Struthio camelus: one gene and its partner. The protein of the gene in region 1 interacts with the protein of each later gene in a biochemical or structural test. Links are inferred from orthologs where the notes say so. Each region holds a gene or a part of one and is shown in the gene's direction. Other genes may lie near its edges.

Region 1 (10,806 bases):
ACTGATATAGCACATCAGTTTTAAAATTTAAAACAAAGCTTTGCTAGACAGACATTCATTAACAAAACACTCCATACTAATAATTAGTTCTCAAAATTGTTATCACTGCGTATTCGTTCTTACTGATTATCAGTCACTATCACTACATATACAAAGCAGTCCGTCCTTAACACTTTTATGCTAAATTAGCTGTGAGAATACAGTACTACAGAGCTGATGGGGCAGAGTTAGAGTATGACTATGGTCCTCGATAGTCATCAAGGTGGCTAAACACAGGAACTCTTTGCTGCGGGGAGCTGATCTTTCTCTTACCTTAGCTTGCCAATTGGGGAATTTTGTCTTTTTAAGATACGCTACATTAGCGTGCTTATGTTTCGGTTCAAAATGAGCCAGTATTAAAGTCTGCTTAGTGTGCTTCTGCTTTCAGGGGTGCTACAGGCCCCTGCTTTAGTTGCAACACTAACTCAATGCAACTTGAGAAGAGAAAGGGCCACTTTCAGATGCCCGGCAGGCACACAAGCATGTGTTATTCTCTTTCACCCAAATCATGCTGGGGTTCTAGAAAGCTTGATTACCTTGTGACTTGATATCGAGGGAGTAAGAATAAGTAAGACAGGTGAAATGGCAGCATCTTACATCTACAACTTGAAGACAGCATTTCAAAACATGGAACAACATGCGACTTAGAAGCTCAGCCAGGTATAAAACCAGCAGGTAGGAAAGTTGCGTGCCTGCCCATCCACCCAAGAATGAGAGAAGATATGACTGCTCAACTGAAAAAGGCCACCCTCCTCCCCCCCCAAAAAAAAACCCCAAACAGATTACCTTAGCTTCTAAATACGCTTCATATTGCCCAGAATCACTTGCATCTTCTGTATTTTTTCATAGTCTCCTTAAAGTAGTCACAGTATGACAGTGAAGGGACTTGGCAGTAGCTAAACCCTTTTAGGTTGTCTTTTTTACTACCATCCACCTTAATCTCTTTGCACTTATCTTTCTTTATTGGAAGTCTGCTGTTGTCATCTTGTTCAAACAGTCCAATTCGTTCACTGGCCCTGGGAGGATATTAATCTGGCTATGCAAGCCTTTATCTCCTGTTTTTAGCAATTAGCAACGCTAATGCTAAAACCAATGAACTTCAGGTTGTTGATCAAAGTGCCAGCGGCTTTACCCAAAGGCGCTTGGGTAAAGTCTGTCTGACTTCAAGAGGGGGAAGGTGCCAGTAGCTGTCAGGTTGCCCTGTTTTCTGTTTACTGCTGTTCTGAGCCACCATTTACCTCCTGTTAAGCAGGATAGGCATTCCCTCCTGCAACTGTTTTCCAGGAAAGATCTCGGTTTCTTCTTTGCATGGTAGGATTTTAGAACACGTGGCATTCTACTGTGCCATGCTGAGTCTGGTGGGTTTTTTTGGAAATTGGGAAAGCATCTGGAGACCATTAATTTGGTTTTTCCAAATTTGTTCAAGAACGGCCTCAGGTGCAGTATTTGCTTCCCTTATTCTTTTTGGAAATGACTTTTCTCCTTAGCTGAGTCTTTTTTGTCCCCTATCTGTTTTGTTTTTGCTGATAATTAGGTTCAAATCCAAGAAATATTCTCATGCCTGAGTTCACAACTGAAGGGGGAAGCCCAGCTCAGAAACCTGTGCAGATGGTAGATGACTAGCAAAAAATAGAACAAACTTCTACTACTATTGTAATGGTAAGTGCACAGTCCATATCCCCAATAGGTGGTGCTGCACCTTTTTCATAGGGTTTAATTGTTGTAATATTGGACCCCATCACCTAGGAAGGTGAGTACTTCTCGAGTGAAATGAAGTCAGGAATCTAGTAATAATATATATTTTTTTAATATAAATAAGTAAGTGTTACATTTCATTTGGTAAATGAAATAAAGTATGTCTTTTTAGCTTAGCGGTTAGTACAGTCACCTAGGTATAGGGAGACAATATTAGGTTTTGGTCCCTCTACTGCAGATTATTATTTTACTGATCACTCTTTTCATCACAAGTAAACAGTCCCTGGAGAAGAGACCCTCCGAGTCTATCTACCATGTGAAAACATTAGATGATAGAGTCACGGTCGTTTTCTCTTTTGTTCTGATCTCATTCATTTTATATTATTATTATGCAAAGCAGGATAGAGAATATGTGAGAAATCTAATACATTACATCTAATACAATATAAGTTAGAATCTCCTCAGAGTCACAAATCAAATCTACATGATCTTTCTCCAAGTAAAAATTCTTACCGTTTAACATTGTTAACAATGTCTAACAGACGTTCACAAAATGTGGTTTTAAAATTAATTCAGTTTCAAAAGGGGAGGGTTGTTACTTAGTGAAATCAATGCACATTTTCTCACCAGAAGAGAAGCCATATATTTGCCACTAGACTATTTGTATGTGAAATATTTATCCCAGATGATTGCCGCTGCTGATATAAGTCATTTTTAAAAGCTGTTCATAAATACCATTTTCTCTTCCAAAATGACTAAAAGCTGCTTGTTTTTTCCAAAAACAATGATTCCTTCTTTGGCAGATATCAGTTCTGGGAAATTTCAACTTTAAATCCAGCAGTTATGGTAGGGTATTGTGGCCAACAGTCAGTCAAATCTTTCTTTAAAGAAAAACATTTTTGAATGTTTCAGCAATTCTTCTTAAACTACTGCGTAATTGTTAATATAGTGCATGAGGAGCATGTATATAGGAATGCTTTTATAGAGTTTTCAAACCACATTGGCCTCAGTCTTCTCAAAAACTGGTGTCTTTTTTGGCGAAGTTGCCTGGTAAGGTGTAATTAGTTTTCAGTGCGCTCTGGAACATCAATTGTCAGGTAAAATGATTAAGAGAAAGCTTTAGAAGTAAAACAAGTTAGCAGGCCCAAAATGAGCGTGTGCCCTGTAACTGCAAGAGGAGGGTAGACAAGAGCTGTAACTCTCCTCTTTCCTCGACACACAGAAAAGTTGCTGAAAGTGCAGAGTAGCATGAAAACAGCCTAAAGGAAGAACAGAACTTGTCTACATGAGAAAACAGTAGTTAAATAAAACTATTTAACTGATTTACTATTTAACTGATTGTGCAAGTCCGCAGTCATGTATACACAGTGATAATGCCCTTTTGCTTATAAAGTTCTAAATCCACAAAAATCAGCTCTAAATCAATATGAGTATATTGCAATCTAGGAAGTTCCAGGTATTAATTGCTGTTTTCAGCATCTATATTTTCCAGGTAATTTCTGAAATCAATTGCAGAGCGTCCTCTGGAGCCCAAGAGAAGTGTGGGCTATGTGTTTACCATCTTGTGAAACCTCCTGCTGTATATCACCTATCTTCTACTGCTTGTTAGCTTGTGCTGTCTTCAAACCGCTAGCAGGTACAATCATGAGCAGATATTTTTCTTCTCTTTTGCAGCCGTGTGCGGTGTCAGATGAAGTTCCATGTGGGTATATCCCTTCAGCGTGTAAGCTTCACTGACCATTGCTTTCACGCCAGCATTTCACGAGCCAAATGGTGTAGAAAGGTGGGACAGGAAGATCTGCGTTTCTAGAACTACAGGATGGGGAGAGGGCCTTTTTCCTGGAAGTCTGTACTGAGCTCATGCCACACATCTACCAACATGAGCAGGTATTTCTTCACGTGGAAAAATATAATGCAGTAGTTGTTGCTCCTGTCCTTTCTATCCGTGTTGCGGGCCCCAAAGGTGTGAATGTTATGATGGAGGTTAGCTCAAGTGCTACTGGTTGAGGCGACCAAATTAGGCAAGCCTAGATTACTGATGTTTTTGCGAATGTAAGTTGTGTTGTTTTTCTGAGGAGACCCATGCATCTGTTATTTGTGGGTTTTTTTCCTCCCCCTAGGAATTGCCGTTGGAGTCATAATTGGGAAGGACTATTTTACTGCAGTATGCAGTGATGGTCCTGGAGGTCCGTTGACCAAATCCTCTTAACCTGAAATATAGCCCTCATAACCTAAATCTGTGCACTTTGTGTGGTTAAAATTTTTACAATATGAAAGCTGATTCTCCCAAAATACGACTTAAGAGTACAAACTTATAAATGAAAAGTTTATGTTATCATACTTGAAGTAGGTCAGCTTTAATAAAATTTTGGAGTGCTAATGCATCTGATTGTCTAATGCGTGAGGTGTGCTAATGGTGGTGGTATATATGTTACTGCCACATCACATCAGATGCCAGGCTAAAAAGTCACTAATTTTGAAATGCTGTGGTTACTTGTGATGATGGCTTATTTTCATCTTGCATTCTGTGAATAGCAAACATAAACCATGTAATTTATCTTGCTAAAACAATAAATAAACTGCTGATATGATAAAAGCTATACTAGCTCCCCTCCTTCTAGTCTCTCACATGAAACTTTTGAACACGTGCGTGTAGTGGTAAGTGCTAAGGGAGGACCACAGCTACTTAGCTGAGCCGCTGCTGAGGTGAGGCAGTAAATTTAGGCTTAATGTGTGAGATCAGGTGATGGCTACTGGATGCTAACTTCTCCATGATCATCACTTTCAATAGACCATTTTCGAGAGACCAGTGTATTTTCATGCTCTCTTGTCCTTAAATGCAGAAGATCTAACAGGCATCGTACGATGCATGTTAAACTTCCTAATCAGAAAGAACAGAAGAGATTGATTTAAATATAATATCAAAACCTTCGATGCTGATACAGGGGCTGCATGAGTTCCCACTGTCACCTCAGCATTTAGTACCGTCTAATAGAGCAGAAGCGCAGAGTTGCCTCAGATGACTCTCTTTTGGCTCGTTGTTTTTTTGGATTTTGTTCTGCTTCCAGCCTCTGGAAAGACTATTTAGCATAAACAAGGAATTAATGGTGTTTATGCAAAAAATCTACCCAAATCCTCAGAGGGGACAACAGCAATCCCTTTGACAGCTCCCTTGGCTGTCTTCAAAGTCTATCTTTACAATTTTGCTACAGTATGTCTCTTTACCGATTTTGACTCATGATTTTGTCCTTTATTTGTTTGCAGTTACCAGTAAATTTTAACTTTCTGGCAACTAGAGGAGCCTGGAGAATAATCCTTCCCCTGGAAAGTCTAGTGGTGACAACGGTTTTAGGTACAGTACGCTTGAAATGAAAGCTGAGCTCAGAGTAGAGACTTTTGAATATCTATCAGTATGACCCAAAGGGAAGAGTGGATGTATAGCTGACGTAACTCTGGCATAGTGGGATGCTTCTGTAGAGCTTCAGATGTAAACTGGTGAAGGAGGATGCTGGCTTGACTGACAACGCAAGCAGTACGTTCACCTTGTGCTTTAGCACAAGTAGTATTTACTGAAGGAATTCAGTTGACTTTGAAAGGGCTTTACTGTCCTGGGATGCTTCCTTTCAGGCTTTTTTAAGAGGTTTCATCTAAATGAGAGGAGTAGAGCAGGTACGTGAAACTATAGATCAGCGTTGCTATATTCTAACTCTGTAACTAACACTTTCTGGTGGCAGCGAGTGGCATCAGCTTGCCTTTTGCATCCATAACAGGCTTTAAGAATTTTATTCCTACTTTCTCCTCCTGAAAGGAAGAAGTACCAATGAGGTGATTTCAAAAGGATGACGACTCTTGAAGGAATCATCATCATCACTGCTATCTCTGGGTCTCCGTGCATCATACTGACCAATACTGTCTCTTTCACATTATAGAAATTACTGGTTGGTATTCTCCTGTATTAAATTTATGACCAGAGATTATCTTGTAAAATACGCTAGGTACTAGACCACAGCTGGGTTTCATAAGTACGACAAGAAGTGGATGCAGCATGGAGGTGTGAGATCCACGAGGTGAGCGATCCGAGGTTTTTCAGAGCAGCGTTGCCCTTGTTGCGTGAGGCTGTGGGGAGGAAGAACTGAAGGAACTAAACCCCGTTTTCAAGTAAACAGGGCATTCACAGGCAGTACAGATAACACTGACGCCGCTCCATCATCCCTGTCACGTGGCGTAGCTAGGCAGGCCGCCTTAAAGTAGCGGAGAGGGAGCTAGAGGAACTTAGTGTTTTATTTACCAAGCTCTGGTAGAAAGAGGGGTCTCCAGCAGCCCTGGCTGCAGCACACACTTTGTTTTAGCCTGACTGATGACGATACACCTGCCCGAAGGCCTCGGTTCTTCCCGGTGGGTGACTCCAGGGCCTAGAAAGACCCGTTCGTGCTGGGTTAGCCACACTGGCAAAGACTGTAAAAAGAGCGGAGGGCTCTGAGGGCGCGTGAGCTGTTCGGCGCCAGCTGATGAAATCCGTGGAGGGGAAGGGAAGAAGACGAGGAGGCGGCGGGAGAGAAAGGGGGCGAGCGCCGAGCGGCCGGGGCTGGCGCCGCGGGCGGCGGGAGGGAGCCGGCGGCGGCGGGCGGGGCGCCCCTGCCCCGTGACCCCCGCGGCTCCTCCCTTCTCCCCACCCACCGCCCCGCTCCTCGGTGCCGCCGAGTAACCTGGTTTCCCGGCGTCGGCCCGGCCCTTCTCCTCCCTCTTTTTTCCCACTCCCCCTCCTTCCTCCTCCCCCTTCGCCGACAGCGTAGCCGGGGCTCGGGCTCTCTCGCTCCCTCCTCCCCTTTCCCTCCCCTCGAGCTGCCGCCGCGGTAGGGAAGCCGGAGAGAGGCGCCGCCTCCGCCGCCGTACACGGAGACATGTACCCGGGAGCCACCTCCGCCGGACCCGGTGAGGTTTGGGCCGCTTCGGTTTCCCTTTCCCTCACCTCCCGCCCCGCCGACTTTCGCAGTCGCTTCGCGGCGTGTTGTGGAGGGGTTGGGTGCGGGGGTGGGGGGGGGGGAAGGTTTGAACTCGGGCTCCGTGTGCGGCGTTGGGGGGGGGAGGGGGGAAGGCGGAGGAGGGGTGTGTGTGTGGGGGGGGGAGGTGGGTGACCGTTGGCGCACGCGGCGGTCTGTCAGCGCGAGGCGCCGCACGCGCCCCCTCTGCCCCCCCCCCCCCAACCGTCGCCGCCGCGAGGCGCCAACGGCCGCCGGCGAGACGTTGGGGGGGGGGGGGAAGATCCGCGCGGCCGCCCTCCCCCCCCCCCCATCCGCCCCCACCTCAGTGCCCTCCCGGCCCGGGCCTGCTCGCTCGTAGCCTCCGTCCGAGGCCGCGCTGGCGGGGGAAGGAGGGGTCAGGCCGCCGCCGCCGCCACCACCTCGGGGAGGGAGGCGAGTGAGCCTGCGTGTCCTGAGGCCCCTTCGAGGGGAGGGTCGCCGTGTGTTCTGCCCTCCTCTCCCCTTCCTTCCTCCCTCCCTCCCTCCCGCGGCGGCGAGCCCCGAGGCAGCGGGGAGGGGCGAGAGGAAGGGGCTGCCCCGCTCCCCCTTGCCGGGGCCCGGCTCTGTGGTGGCCGCTGGGGCAGCGCCAAGCGGCGGGTCACCCTCGGCCGCCTCGTCCCCCCTCTATGCGCTTACGTGCCGCCTTGCCCCGGCCGTTGGTGCCAGCTCGGCCTCCTGCTGGCAGCGCGGCGCGGACGGGGGCGGCGGAGGTGGTTGGAGAAGGGGGGGGGTGCGGGGGGGGTCTCCATTTCCTCCCTCGCAGCGGCCGGGGGTGCCGCGGCCGCCTTTGCCCGGCGGCGTGTCTGCAGCCGCGGCCTGGCTGTTGGGGTGCGGGCGGGGGCTGCGTCCCGCTGTCCCATAGGGATCCGGTGAGGTTCTCGCCTTCAGTCGCCCTTCAGACTTCGGTGGATTTTTGTGAGCGAAGGGGGAGGAGGACGCGGGCAGCAGAAGCGCTAGCAACTTGCTCGGGGACGCTAGTGTTGTTCAAGGGGAAGGATAAGTTAGTATTGTGAGAGCTTGTGTCGTTAGCGTGTAGTTAGCCTAACGCTCGAAAAGAAAACAACTCTCCTAATGTAGAAACTATTATTTTTACCTTGTTTTTTTTTTTTCCAGAAAAAGTTTAAAAGTGAAACTTCCTGTATTTTATATTACTGTTCTTCATAGGTTTGTGTAAAATCTTTTTCCCGTGAAGGGAAGATCTAGTAAGGAAAAGTGCAGAACAATATAGGACCTGTAGCTCGGACCCTTCTACTGTTTCTCTCTTGCAAATGCTGCCACAGTAGCAGCATTCACCTTAGGATCTACAGTTAGGTGCTGGCTTCCTCTTCCCCCCCCCCCCCCCCCCCCCTTTTCTGTCTGATACTATTACCCTGAAGGAAAGAGAATCGAGAAAGGACCGGGACGATAGCTGTCCTTTTAGGAAAACCAGAAGAGCTATATTCTTCCTTGCTTTTCTTCCTGTAGTTCATGAAGGCTTTTACTATACACAGCAGGAAGACAGACCGCTGTAGCCGCGTGCATCCAGACTGATGACGTTCAATACTTTGGTTTTAAGTATTGGGCTGTCTTCAAGTTTCAGTACCAATAGCTGTGCATAAATACTTACTTTATCATTTGCTTGGCTTCTAGTGTCAGGTTCTCTTGTTCACTTTCAGTGTGCAGATAATCTTGGTGCTTAAATTGTGCTGCTGTTAAGGCTGTTACGTTCACCCCTTATTGTTACATCTTTTGCAAAATTGTATATAAGGGTTCTTCACCTATCTGGAGGTGGGGTTTTTTTGTTTTGTTTTTTAAAGGAACCAAATCATTGAAAAAATTGCCAGTATATGGACTGAGAGCAGGTTTACATGTGGGAGCAGTCTATCTTCTTCCGTTTGCTCTTTATCTGATCCTAACAGTGTCCCTTCTACACAGAATGATCTTACTTCCACAACACTGGCACAGGTGGTTGCTGTTTACTGCCAGATCCAGTGCGTATGTGTATTTTTCCCCTTATCAGAACAACCCTCTCTGAGCCCCAGAGAGCAAACACCATACCTTTACTGAGCTGCTATTTCTCTGCAAGCACTGCTGTCCGGTGCCGCAGGCTTCTGCTATTCCGCTCCCTTCAACTAAGCTCGTCTTCTGTCTCGTTTACTTCCCAGTTTATCTTGGGCTCAGCTTTTTTTCCCTCTGCAGAGCCAGGCAGGGACAGCGTCTGGTCTAGAGCACGAGCTGCAAGTTGTTGTCCGCATCGTTTCCTTCCTGTGCAGTCATCCACAGAGAGCCTTACCAGGGCAGTGGCTTTTAGCAATCCGAAAAAGCTTCCCGTTCTGCATCAAATCATACGGCAGGACCTTTGATTAGAGTTTTTAAAGAGGGAAGAGCTGTATTGTGAACCAGTCTGGAAACGGAGACTGTCAGCAGGGTGCTTGGTTTTGTCCTGTAGGCTAAACGTGGCCTGTGCACTGCTAGTGAAAGTCCCCTTCCACGTGTTAATCTGATACGTATCAAGCGAGCGTATGCTGAGATCCTCTTCAGAGGAATGAGCGAGCAGGAGTGTGGTTCGCAGACGTTCAGTAAGGCACAGCTGCTGTAAGTGCAGGAGAGCTCCAGCCTCTACATGTCTGTCACCACATCCTTGACGCAGCTTAAATGCTCCATTCATATCTCTTGTAACTTGGGTCTGGCCGCTGTTTGGTGGTTCGTTGAACGATGTTGCAGCATACGAGCTACTTTACTCTTCCTGCTCCCGTCACCAAACTGGACACCACAGCCATCCCTGTTCTGAGGGTGTTTGTGGTGTTGGCCCTCTGCCAATGTAATCACTCAATTTGCCACAGGGTTTGCTATTTTAATCTTCATTCTTTTTCTGGAAACAGTATAAAGCAAGTTAGGAGGCTGCATCTGACTAATTTAAAAAAATTGCAGCTAAACCTGGAAACTTTGTTCTAACATGCTGTTACATTGGGAGTAAAATATTTTTATACAAGAGAGTAAGATGTTTGTGTACAGATCACGTTTTTATGATTAGAAAAGCTATGATCTCCATTCCTTTTTCCCAAAATATTGTTCAGCTTTGAGACTTTACACTGGTGCTCCTTCTCCTTCAAGAGACTATAGAAAGACTACAGTTTTGAAAGTATGAAACTTTTTTTTTTTTTTTTTTAATTAATATAGATACTTTTTAGGATGTGTTTTCCTAGAAGGACAGGAAGATATCAAGGAGGTATAATAAAAATACTGTTGTTAGATCAGTTGAGTTTGAGGAAGTGATTGAAACTTGCACAAACTTCTGAAACTTGCACTGCTTAGTATTCACATATTTATAAATTCTAAACTTTGCATGCTATAGGTTGTCTCTTTCTTTATTTGAAAGAATATTTGTTTTTGTTCACTATCTGAGGTTTTAATTTGTTGTTGAAGGAGCACTTACTTGGAAAAAAGGTGACTTCAAAAAAAAAAGGGGGTTGTTGCTTTACGTATAAAATAAACTTTTTTTTTTTCCTGGTATGAAAAACAAGTTTGAGTTTTCTGTAGCAGGCTGTTGGCACCTGCCTCAGTAACACCAAGAACTCCCTTGTATCAAGGGTCTCCTCATCACCTGCCCAATCTTTTACTTCTTAGAAAGCCTCTTAATATTATTTTTAGGTTGAAACTGGGCCTGTTTGTATTGTGCTGTCCTGCTGGTATCACATGTTTGCACAGGTTTTTGGGGCTTAATTTTAGACAGTAAATTATGTTGAAATTCATTATAAGCTGCCATATGTAAAAGAGGAAATGATAATTTAATATACAGCGCGCTCAATTTTTTTTTTTGCATGAGACTTTTTTTTTTTTTTTTTAGACTTAAATCACATTTGACAGCCTACAATGTACAAAACGCAGGTAACTTTTTTAAAATATTGTTGTCATGGCCAGTATATTTTCCTAAGAAAGGAAAAGATTCCATATTATTGTTTCCACTAGCTGCATGGTCTTAGGTGGCTTAAAATGAGGGAGTTATTTGGTGAAAGGATGACTGATGTTACACATACGAACCAAAGCTTTCTCCTTTTCTTAGTGAACCAAA
Region 2 (10,336 bases), on another chromosome or scaffold:
GCTCTCAATCAGAGGTATGTATTGAATGTTTGCACTTGTTGCTCAAAGCTAATTTTTGTGAGAACGAAATGTATACTTGTGTATAGCTGGTATAATAGAAAACAAATTGTTTTTAGAAATTGTTACTCTGTAATATGAGTAGTATTTACTAGTGAATAGTTCCACTTTATTTTATAAAATCTCCAATTTTGAAATAAATGGACAGGCTTCCTTTATATAATCTGTTATTTGTGGTGGGTTTGTCCTTTTCCTCCAAGAACATCTGCCCAGATGTATTCACCATTTAGCAGAAGGAAGATCTCAGTAAACAGAATGAATTCATAAAGTTCATTGTTTCTGCACCTACCCAAAAAGAGACTTTTAATTTTAAGGAAAGAATCTAAACTTTTTTTCCAATCAACAAACAGAATGAGCTTCAATTTTTTTTATAGAGGTGAAGATTTATTTATTTATTAGTGCATAGAAATTGGCATTGTATAGGTGATCCATGGGAAAGCTTAGAAAACACAATTGTGTTGTATTATACCGTTCTCACATTATTTTTTTCTGACCTGTTTCTATTTAAGTGTCTAAACGTTAAGACTAGTGGATTAGTAAATTACTAGACACAATACTGATTCATATTTACTGTGTTCTCCCCCCTACACCTTAGTTTCCTTTGAGGTATATAAGCAAAGGAAAACACTCAAAATACAACAGAGATGCAGTACAGTTTAGAATCAGACCTATGATCTGTTTCCTAAAAGATATATGTAAATTGGATAAACATAGAGGAAGAAAACAGTGCGTAGAGAATGGAGTTAGGAGTGCTTCTTCTCTAATTCAAATTAAAGGTTGGTGGGTATCATACTTCAGGAATTGTAAATGTTCTTGGCCCATCGTAATGATATTGGCCCATCCTCCCTCATATCGAAGGCTTGTAGGCAGTAAGAGATTTCTGATAATGCTGTTGAGGATTTGGCATATTCGGGTCCAGTCCTGCTGGCAGTGCTGACTTCAGTACCATAAACATTAAAATCTCTAAATATAATTTGAGACGAGTAGCTTTTATTGGTGTAGCGAATGATGCTTAAGTGAAGAAAAAAAGGGTTGTGATGTTTTAAAAATTAAGTAAATTTTTTGCAACTGACTCCGTGATTAGGAATTTGCACGTGGATTAAGGGGGTTGAGGTTCAAACATGCAAGGCAGGTTACCTCAGATCTCGGGAGCAGAATCAGTTTTTGCAAGAGTATGGGATCCAAACTTCAGTTCTAATTCAAATACAGAATAGAAACTGTTGGAGTTAATTTCTTTTCTCTAAAGAAGGATAAAAGTTATTCTGCTAGCCACTGCAAAGATAATTGATTTTATTTTTATATTTTTTGTAACTTAAAGAAGATGCAAGCGCAACATAGGACATATGCCCATCTGGATCATGATCGTAATAAAGACAAGCATAGCGTTCATTTCAGACAAGGGACCAGTACGCACACTGCAGTTTTGTGGGAGCCCAAGCCTTCTAAGGATAAACCTCTGGCCATCACGCACATACTCTGGTTGCTAGTGTATACTGAAACCTGTGTTCTGTCTTCACTGCTTGTTTTGTATCTCATTGATAAACAAAAGATAGTGGGGGCAGGGGTACTTGTACCTTCAAATTGCTGGGCAGATATAACAAAATCTTACGCTTGAGCTGTGATTTCTGCTAAGATAGCAGCTAGCATAAACTAATAATCTTGAGTTGCTATTTGTATTGATATTACAAAGATTATTTCCAGGAGAATGCACTACAATAATTTAGGAAATGCCTTCCAGTGACTAATTCCATTACTTGGTTAGATGGTACCACTGGCAGTTCTCCGTCCCGGCCAAACTGTAAGCATTACCCTGGAATATGATGTGACATATGATCAAAGCAAAATATATAGCTCCATCTGCTGTAAATACTTTGAACTGATTATTTTTGCATTACTTTTTACGGCTGATCAGTACCCTGGGGAACTGATTTATCACTTTGCTGATAGAGATTATCTGCCTGTTAGCAAGAATCAGCGTAAGTGTAGCAGCTAAGTACATTTATACTTTGCAAGACGGTATTTTGCTTGATTCTGGGGCAAAAAATGAGTATAAAAAAGCATTTTACAAGGATATTAGGAACCTTTGTTAACTATTGTATGATAGATCCTTTGTACTGTGTCATTGTGAAATACAGCTGCTTATGAAATGCAAAAATTAGATTTGCCTAAAGTAACCTTAGTCAGCGATAGATATGAAGAGACTTCCAGTTATGCTTCTGCTAAGCAAGGGCTCTCCACAATAAGGAATAGCAACACTGTTTTTAGTCAATAGTCATGAAATGCTGAGTCCCTTCATTGAAAGAGTGAAGCAGTTGATAACACATTTTTATATTAATTTGAAAAGGTAAAAGAGCAGTTTGAAGAGGTCAAAAAGACACTAAAGCAATTAAAAATGTTAAAGTTTCTCTTGCAGTAGGGAAAATACCCTTATTTAGAGTTATGAAGTCTGGGTCATTGAAGTGTGAAAGCACTAAGGAAAAAGATTGCAAATAGCATCTTAGAGGGGACCAAAACTTTGTGCAAACCTCACACCTTTTTAAAATCTCAGCTCCAATTTTAGGAATGGATTCAGTTCAAATATAGGTTCTTGCTTTCTTTCAACTTCCTCCTCCATAGTCACACCTGCATCTTTTTCTCATAATACATTACATATGTTACTATTAGCAGTGTAGCCACACTTAATGTTTGTAACTGTCTCTTTTCTGCAGTGGTTCACAACTATGAACTAAAAAACCTGGTAGCCAGACAAGAGACTGGCTGAGAGGAAAGTCTCAAGTTAAATTTTCTGAAGGTGGGTGCAGAATAGTCACATCCTTTCCTATCCAGAAACTTGCTTACAACACTCTGGCCTGCAGTTGTTTCTGGATAACTGTCAGCTTATTTCAAAGTATATTATTGAAATAGTGTATGATATAGGGACAAAACAGCATCACGGCTGGTACCAGCAACAGAGAACAACAGAGGTCACCATTAACTTGCAAGAAGAATTATCTTCAGAATCCATTTTAGAATTTGAGAAGATAAATCAAATCAAAAAGCACAAAGCCTATTTTCTGCTGGCATAATTTCAAAATTCTATAGCATGCACAAGGCTAATTACTGAGTTTTGCAGAAACTGCATTTTTGCTTTTTTCTAACCTAAACACAAAGGTTTTTTTTTTTCTTACCCAATACGAAAAAAATAGAAACAAAACATACATTTTTGGAAAGGGGAAGGGAGAGAAATGTTTCTGTTTTCCTGTTGTTGTCTTACAACAGTTATCTCATTATCAGTATTTCCAGTTCTAAAGAAATGGAGAAAGCTATAATTTGGTGAATTATTCATTTATGCTGTTCTGGATTTTAATTAGCTGAGCTATTCAATTCCTTTCCCCCAATGGCCTGTTTGTTTTTAATCAAACATTGAATGTCAAGTAGTTGGAAATATGTGGGATTTTTAGAATTTTGTATTGCATTGATGAATTCAGCTTAATTTTCTTTACAAATCTTTTAAAGACATTTGTGAAATCAACATAAAAATCAATTTTTGATTTGGGGTTAAACTCTGACAGCTAGCTGTCACAATACAAGCATATGACATAAAATATCCATTCCTTACAAAGGAGAGAAGCTAGAGGTGATGGAATAACAAAGTACCGCACAAAGTTGATCCTAACTGTGCTTTTAAATCACAAACTCCTGTCAGCAGGCTTAAGGAGGAAGTAGCTGTGGAGAAAGACATCCTTTTCTTTATACAAAAATAACTTCCAGAATTCTTTTGGCATTTATATGCATTGTTTTCTGTGTTTTAAGAATTCTGCTTGCCTTCTCTTTGAATTGGATAAAATTGGATAAAATTCATTATTTAACCATGGCCTGCAAAGGATTGAAGAGAGTTTCCTTCTGCTCTATTTTACATTAGAAATAATCAAGAATGCTAATTTTCTTCAGTACTTCAGCTAAAATTGGAAAAATAGACACGTGTTCTGACAGCTCCCACTGGATAAGACTTAACAGCTGCTCCTCTTCTTAAGGTTTTATCATGGGATAGAATTAGTCTTCCATCCATAAAAACAGAAGGATACCCTTTGCATGCTACAAAAATACTTAATACTTCAATATTTAATAACATTAGCATTCCAGAAGAAGAGTTCTAAATGGCGACAGAGGTTTTAACCAAGTAAAGAAAGCACTTAATTTGATAATACTCTAGGCCTCCAAATCACTTTTCTCCCCAAATCATTTTACTAGAGTTTAAACCGTATAGTGCTCCAGTCAACTTTACCTTCTCAAACTGATTTTGTAGGCACACATAGTTGCATTATGCAAGGCAGTAAATCCCTGGTTGAGTGGGAATGGAATGAAGAAGGCTGCATCTCCAGTGCCAGATCTTCCACTGCATGTGCATAAAGTTTAGCACAACTTAAAAGGAGAGTGGTTAGCCAGAGGCAGCTTTTTATTAAATTTATGATCTTATTATAATCTGTTATGGAACAAGGAGGATCTCCAATCCCTGTGTAAGTAAATGTGATCTTACGATAGTCCTAACTTGCCTGCCTGGACTACCACAAACGTAACTTGTGCTATACTTGCACACCTGAAACAGCTTGCAGTGTTTTGCAGGGCCAACAGGATCAGTGAAATACAGTATACAACCAAATTTATCCACTGAGGAGACGAGGTGCCAGGAGCAGGCAAAACAGAGCCAGGTATGTAAATTTACATTATTTAAAGATTTCCTCGCACAAGAACGACCACATTGCCCACATGTGGCTAAATCTTTACATTGTTGGTGTAGTGATGTATGAGTAGTCCACAGACTTGACTGTTCGTTGGCACTATGGGCAGGTTTGTAGTCTTGTTCTTCTGAGCTTTAAGTGTATTGCTCTCATTACTATGGTAAAGTATACTTGATGTGGAAAACACATTTTTCTCTGCACAGACAGCATAAAAATTACTTCAAAGTAATGGTGCTTTTGGATATGTGTGGATATGAGTGAAGGACATGGAGAAAAAGTTAAGTAGGAAAACTGAATTAACAGTACAGATTTGCACTGCTTACATCCATCTTGTAGCACAGTTGGTCAGCGATTTCATTTGTTTTCTGGTTATACTGCAGCCCAATTCATACTTTAGATTTGTTCAAAGCTCTTTCATTGTCTTGCAAGTTTCACCTCAGTTTTTCCAGGGCACAGCTTCCAGATTTTGATATCAATGGCGTCACAGAAATAAAAGGTGGAAAATGGTAGTATGTGAAGTACCAGAAAAATTGTGTTCTGCTAATGTTTCAGCACCATACTTTTCCCTTATCTTGGGTTCTTCATCTGTGGGCACAGGTTTTTGACACTGGAGAAACAGTTACCCCGCATCAACTGTCTGTTTAACCCAAGGGATTTCAGGTTTTTTTTTTTTTTCTTAACGTAGTAGTAGTAGTTAGTAAAGTCACTTAAGCAAGTAAATGTTGACAAGAAACTGGAATGAGGCCCGTGGTTCAGCTAGCTGATACTCTGCCTCAAGCAATTGCAAAAGGAAGTGCTGTTCAGGGAGTACAAGAACCTCGCCACTGCCTGTGGTCCTTTCTTCTTCCACTGTCATTGACTTTGTGATGTTCGGAGGTATCTATCTCCCTAACTTTCCTTCTCTTTGGTATCTGTTTATGGACAGTATCAATCTATTCTTTCTTGAACCACTGATACTATTTGTCCTGTGGTGGCAATGGCTTCCAAGACCTTTCACTTTTATTGCTGCGAAACATTCATTTTTGACACCGTGATGAGAGAGACCTGTTCAACTTTCCTTTGTAAGGATGTAAATCTCCTTGCAGTCATAAACACAGTTCACCAGCTGGATGAGATCGCACAGCAGCTCTGTTCTGCCAGCTTCGACGAGCAGCAGTGAGCAGAGGTGGCTGCTGACCAGTAGCAGCCAGACCCACATCCATCTTGTCTGGGGCTAGCGCCAGCAAGAGCCGAGGGCGCTAGCTCCATGGTGGAAGAGCGGCTCTTTTCCTTTGGCAGGGAGGATACTCCTCAGAGAAATGACTGCCTCTGCGTAAGGAAAAAGTGGGATATAGCAACAGAGTAGCGAGGGAGGCCCAGATTCTGCTCGCCCTGAGCAGCCCTGCCTCAGCGGCAAGAAAAACTCCCTGGAGGCGGCCTCGCCGTCCCCACAGCCCGCACCAGCCTGGGGAGCCTCACCCCCTCCCAACATGGCGGGTGCTGCCTCGCCTCAGCCGAACGGCCGCCACCGCCTCTCGCGCGCGAGCCCCGCCCAAGCGCGTGCGCGGGGGGGGGGGGGGGGAGGCGGAACGAGACACGGCACCGGCGGCTCGGCGCCTCGCGCTCCTCCGGCCGGGGGAGGGGAGAGGGCACACACGTGAGCCCCTGGACCACCCCGCATCTCCTCAACCGCTGCTGTATCTCGCCATCTCATTGGCTAGCCTGTGAACCTTTCACCTTTTACCCAGCTGTTGCCGCCAATCGCCTGGCTCCTTTCATGCTGCGGGGATGTGGAGCGTGTGAGCTGCGCAGGGTGACATTCTCGGAGCGGGCTTGCGTTGCGGGCGTTGGGCGGCCCCTGTTGGTATGGGCGGGAGGGGTGGGGAGGTGCTCCGTTTGCGTAGGGCCGGCAGCGCAGGGGGAAGGGAGGGGGAGGAGGCTATCCCGGGCCCAGGTGAATGGAGGAACCTGACAGTTGGGGGGAGCGAGGAGGCGGCGGCGGGGAAATGGCGGCGGCGGCAGCAACACAATGAGACGCGGCCTGTAGTGGGGGGAAGCGCCGGGCTGGGTCCCGTCCGAGCAGGTAGGAGATGGCGGCCCAGGCGCGCCTGCCCTCGCCGCGGCGGCTGCATGGCGGCCGGGCACGGGTGCCGGAGCCCAGCGCCCGCGCCGGCCCGCGCTCTCCCCCGCCGCGGCCGCGCCGCGCCGCCGGGGGGTGGAATGGCGGCGGGCGCTGCCTCCCCGCCCTCCGGCCGCTGGCCCCGGTTAGTCCTGCCCCGCCTCCGTCCCAGCCGCCGTCCCCGCGGGCGCCCCGCTGCTCCGGCCGCCGCCAGCACCGACCTCCGCCATCGACCCCAGCAACTTCCCGCCGCCGGCAGGGCCCGGGCCCCGCGCGTCGGGTGGCGGCAGGGCCCGGCCGGCGCCGCCGCCGCGCTCCGGCCCCTCTCGGCCGGCTTTGTCTCGTCGCTGCGCGCCCCGCGGGCAGCCGCGCTCGGGGCCTGCCGCCGTGCGCGCTTGAGGGCCCGCGCTCTGCCCTCTCCGGGCTGCGGCTTCCCGGAGCGGTTGTGCCGTGTTGCGTGGCGGGGGTTGGGGCGAGGAGTGCAGGGCAGCAAACGTGTTTCCACTCTTCGGTGCTACGGTTAAGGAGTTATATGAAATTCTTAGCTCTCTGCTTTTCTTTTTCTTTTTTCTTTTTTTCCTCCATCCTCGTCCAATTTAAGTGAGGACTGTCCGCATAGAGCGGCAACGCAGTGGCAACGTGGTTAGGGCATACCTTATACTGTGTGATCTTAGGCTGAAAAGACAAAAGATGAAAAAGCAAATATTTTTTGTAATAGGATTTAATACTAGTGAGATAATAGATAATGTAGAAAATCCTCAATAGATAGAAAAAGGATTGTAGCAATGACATTTTGAAATATTCTTTGTTTATTTATAGAAATGACTGTTTCCAAAATATAAGTGACTGATGCAATTGTCTTCAACTGCTAAAAGTCTGGAGGATGCTTGGCGCCTCAGATAATGAGTTATGAGTATTCTTGGTGTTAGGATACTGAGCTTCAAGATATGCAGTGCCTCGCCTGATGAAAGCATGTAGGTTGGAAGGTGGTTGCCACTCTCAAAGAAACAAGACAAAGGGCGAATCAAATCAGAATTAACTTTGCAGAAACTTGGTTTACGCTGTTTTACTGTGTTTGAAGGGCTTTTTGATTTACAGACCATTTCGGATGCCCAGCTGAAGTGCAAACAGCATACATGTTTTTTATTGAGATAGATGTGAGGGTTTCCTTGTGGGTGTGGGTGGGTTTTTTGTGTTAAGTTGATACAGATGCAAACTGGAATTGATTTCTATTAAGCCAGAATTATTGTCCTAAATCCTTAAGAGGGACTTTCCTGTTGTCTGTCTTTACAAGATACGTTGTAATCTGTATAACTATATAAAAGGCTTGAAGATGCTACTAGAAGTTTTCAGCTGGAAGGGGCGTGCACATGTATGATCTCCCAATTGTTTCGTCATTGTTCTTAATCCATAGGATTTAAAAATGTGTATGTATTTGTTCAGACTCTGAATTAGCTACTGCTGTTTAGGAAAGTATCTTGATCTGATAGAGTTCAATGAAAATGGCAGCTCAGTACTCATCAGTAAAAAGAAAATAATGTTAGAATTTACAAATAATTGACAATCAAATGGCATCAGTATGCTATTGTGCAAGTCCATGCTGGACCCTTACTTTTAACACTGCATGCAGTTTGGGTGTATCTTTCTTCCATATGCCAAAGGTTATGTTAGACTAAGAAAAGGTAGAGAGAAAGCTGACTAGGTGGCTTAAGTACTAGAAATTTGTAGCCAGTTGAGATGCCAGAAGAGGAATAAGAGAGATGTCTATGCAATATAGTTGTGAAAAAAGCAAGTTAGGAGCAGTTGTTAGGGTTTCCCTCCCCTCCGCTTCTTTGAGGTTTCTGTAGTTGACAGATTCAAATCAAACAAAAGACAATCTTTCACATTCTGTTTAGCTAGAATACCTGCTTCAACAGCACATTGGGAATGCCAAAACCTTACATAGAGGTCAAAATAATTGGTTTGTAAAGAAAAAAATTCATCGGAGACTGTCAAGCACAAAGACTTAGAAAATGTCAAGGTGACTGGTCAGTGGAAAGTAGTACTGCTTGCCTAGCTATTACGTTCCTTCCTACGTGTCCTCCACTGGTCACCAGTAGAGGGAAGCCAACAAGCTAGAAAGATATTTTGTCCGACACAATGTTATTCTAATGTTTTAACATAAATTACACTGATTGATTGAGAAATGCCTTGAAGAGTTGTAGCTTAAAGATTAACAACAACAAAAAGGCTGAACCTGTAACTCAAAACACTGTTCCCTTGGTTTTTTTGTATATTCCCTAGATCTTTCTCATTTCCCATTCCAAAAATTAGTAAGGGCTTTTTCACATTCTTCAGGAAAGTTCATAGGTGGTGCAAAGTTGCTTTAGCATACCTTATTACAGAAACTGAGTATCACTGCTTCACCCATGTTGCCTTTCAGTATGAACTGGGTAAACTTGTATCTCTCTGTAACCAAATGCAAGTTACTGGCAGAGACAAATAGAAGGTGTTTATCCTTCTTGTAAAGGTCAGTAACTTAGTAAAATGGATATGGTAAACTTGGAGGTTGACATATTTCTTTGATTTATCTTCTAGATAAACTGTAGAATAGGATTGACAGCAAGAATTCCATTTTGAAAAGGATTGTACACTTACAGATGACAAGCATTATGTTATATAATAAGTACTGAGAATACAGACAAGAACGTCAAAACGTTTTTTTTGAAATGGATTATTTCTTAATTCTCTGTGGGAGTAAAGGGTTCTGGGTAATTTTTTTTTCCTGTCATGTTGGTGCTACAAACTAGAGAGTATACTGAGCGTGATGCATCATTGGTGGGGCAGTGAGATGGTTCATATGCTCCACTTTCTTGCTTTACTAATGATTAGCTGTGCAGCCACTGACCATCTGTATCCTATCTCTGTCATATGTTCAACAGTAGTTTCTGCAGGCTGATAGCTGCTTCCTTAAAATAAATTCCTGTGCTGCCTTTAAAGAGCAAAAAATAAAAATTAAAAAATAAAGTAAAATAAAAAAGTAAAATAAAAAGTAAAAATATAATATTGTACAGAACAGTAACCTCAGCATGTGATACGCTATTAGGATATTCTGTCCTGAAGACTAACAGTGATGACTGGAGCAGAGGAGAAAGCGAGATTTCCTTACACCCTCCAGACTGCTTTCTTCATCTTTTTGCCTTTTATGACTTCCATACGAAATGTGATTAAACCAGTAGAGGAAAAACTGCTACACAGTAAAAAGTACACTTCTTAGCTGAAGTTATTGCAGTCTGGGCTTGGGATTTGAAGACCTGAGTTTCCCTGCTTGATCAGGGAGGTTGGACTAGATGATCTCCAGAGGTCCCTTCCAACCTAAACCATTCTGTGACTTAGTGTTCAAATGGTGCTAATTGTTTGAGGGGATGGGCAGACATAGGCATGTAATCAAAACAGCTGTTCTAAAAGGTTTAATCTATAGGAC

What was found.
Region 2: the proteins of AGO2 (region 1) and DICER1 form a complex in vitro, tested with the Homo sapiens proteins (2 studies listed by BioGRID and IntAct). The link is inferred for Struthio camelus from reciprocal best matches to the Homo sapiens genes AGO2 and DICER1.

The regions. Positions count from the first base shown.
Region 1 is NC_090943.1:168,309,424-168,320,229, reverse strand, and holds the start of AGO2 (protein argonaute-2), read left to right. Parts: upstream 1-6,419; 5' UTR 6,420-6,635; coding exon 6,636-6,666; intron 6,667-10,806.
Region 2 is NC_090946.1:67,304,921-67,315,256, reverse strand, and holds the start of DICER1 (endoribonuclease Dicer), read left to right. Parts: upstream 1-6,328; 5' UTR 6,329-6,553; exon of another isoform or gene 6,554-6,618; intron 6,619-6,620; coding exon of another isoform or gene 6,621-7,397; intron 7,398-7,692; exon of another isoform or gene 7,693-7,847; intron 7,848-10,336. Other genes in the region: uncharacterized protein C10orf95-like, read left to right, coding at 6,621-7,397. UniProt on the Homo sapiens protein: Double-stranded RNA (dsRNA) endoribonuclease playing a central role in short dsRNA-mediated post-transcriptional gene silencing.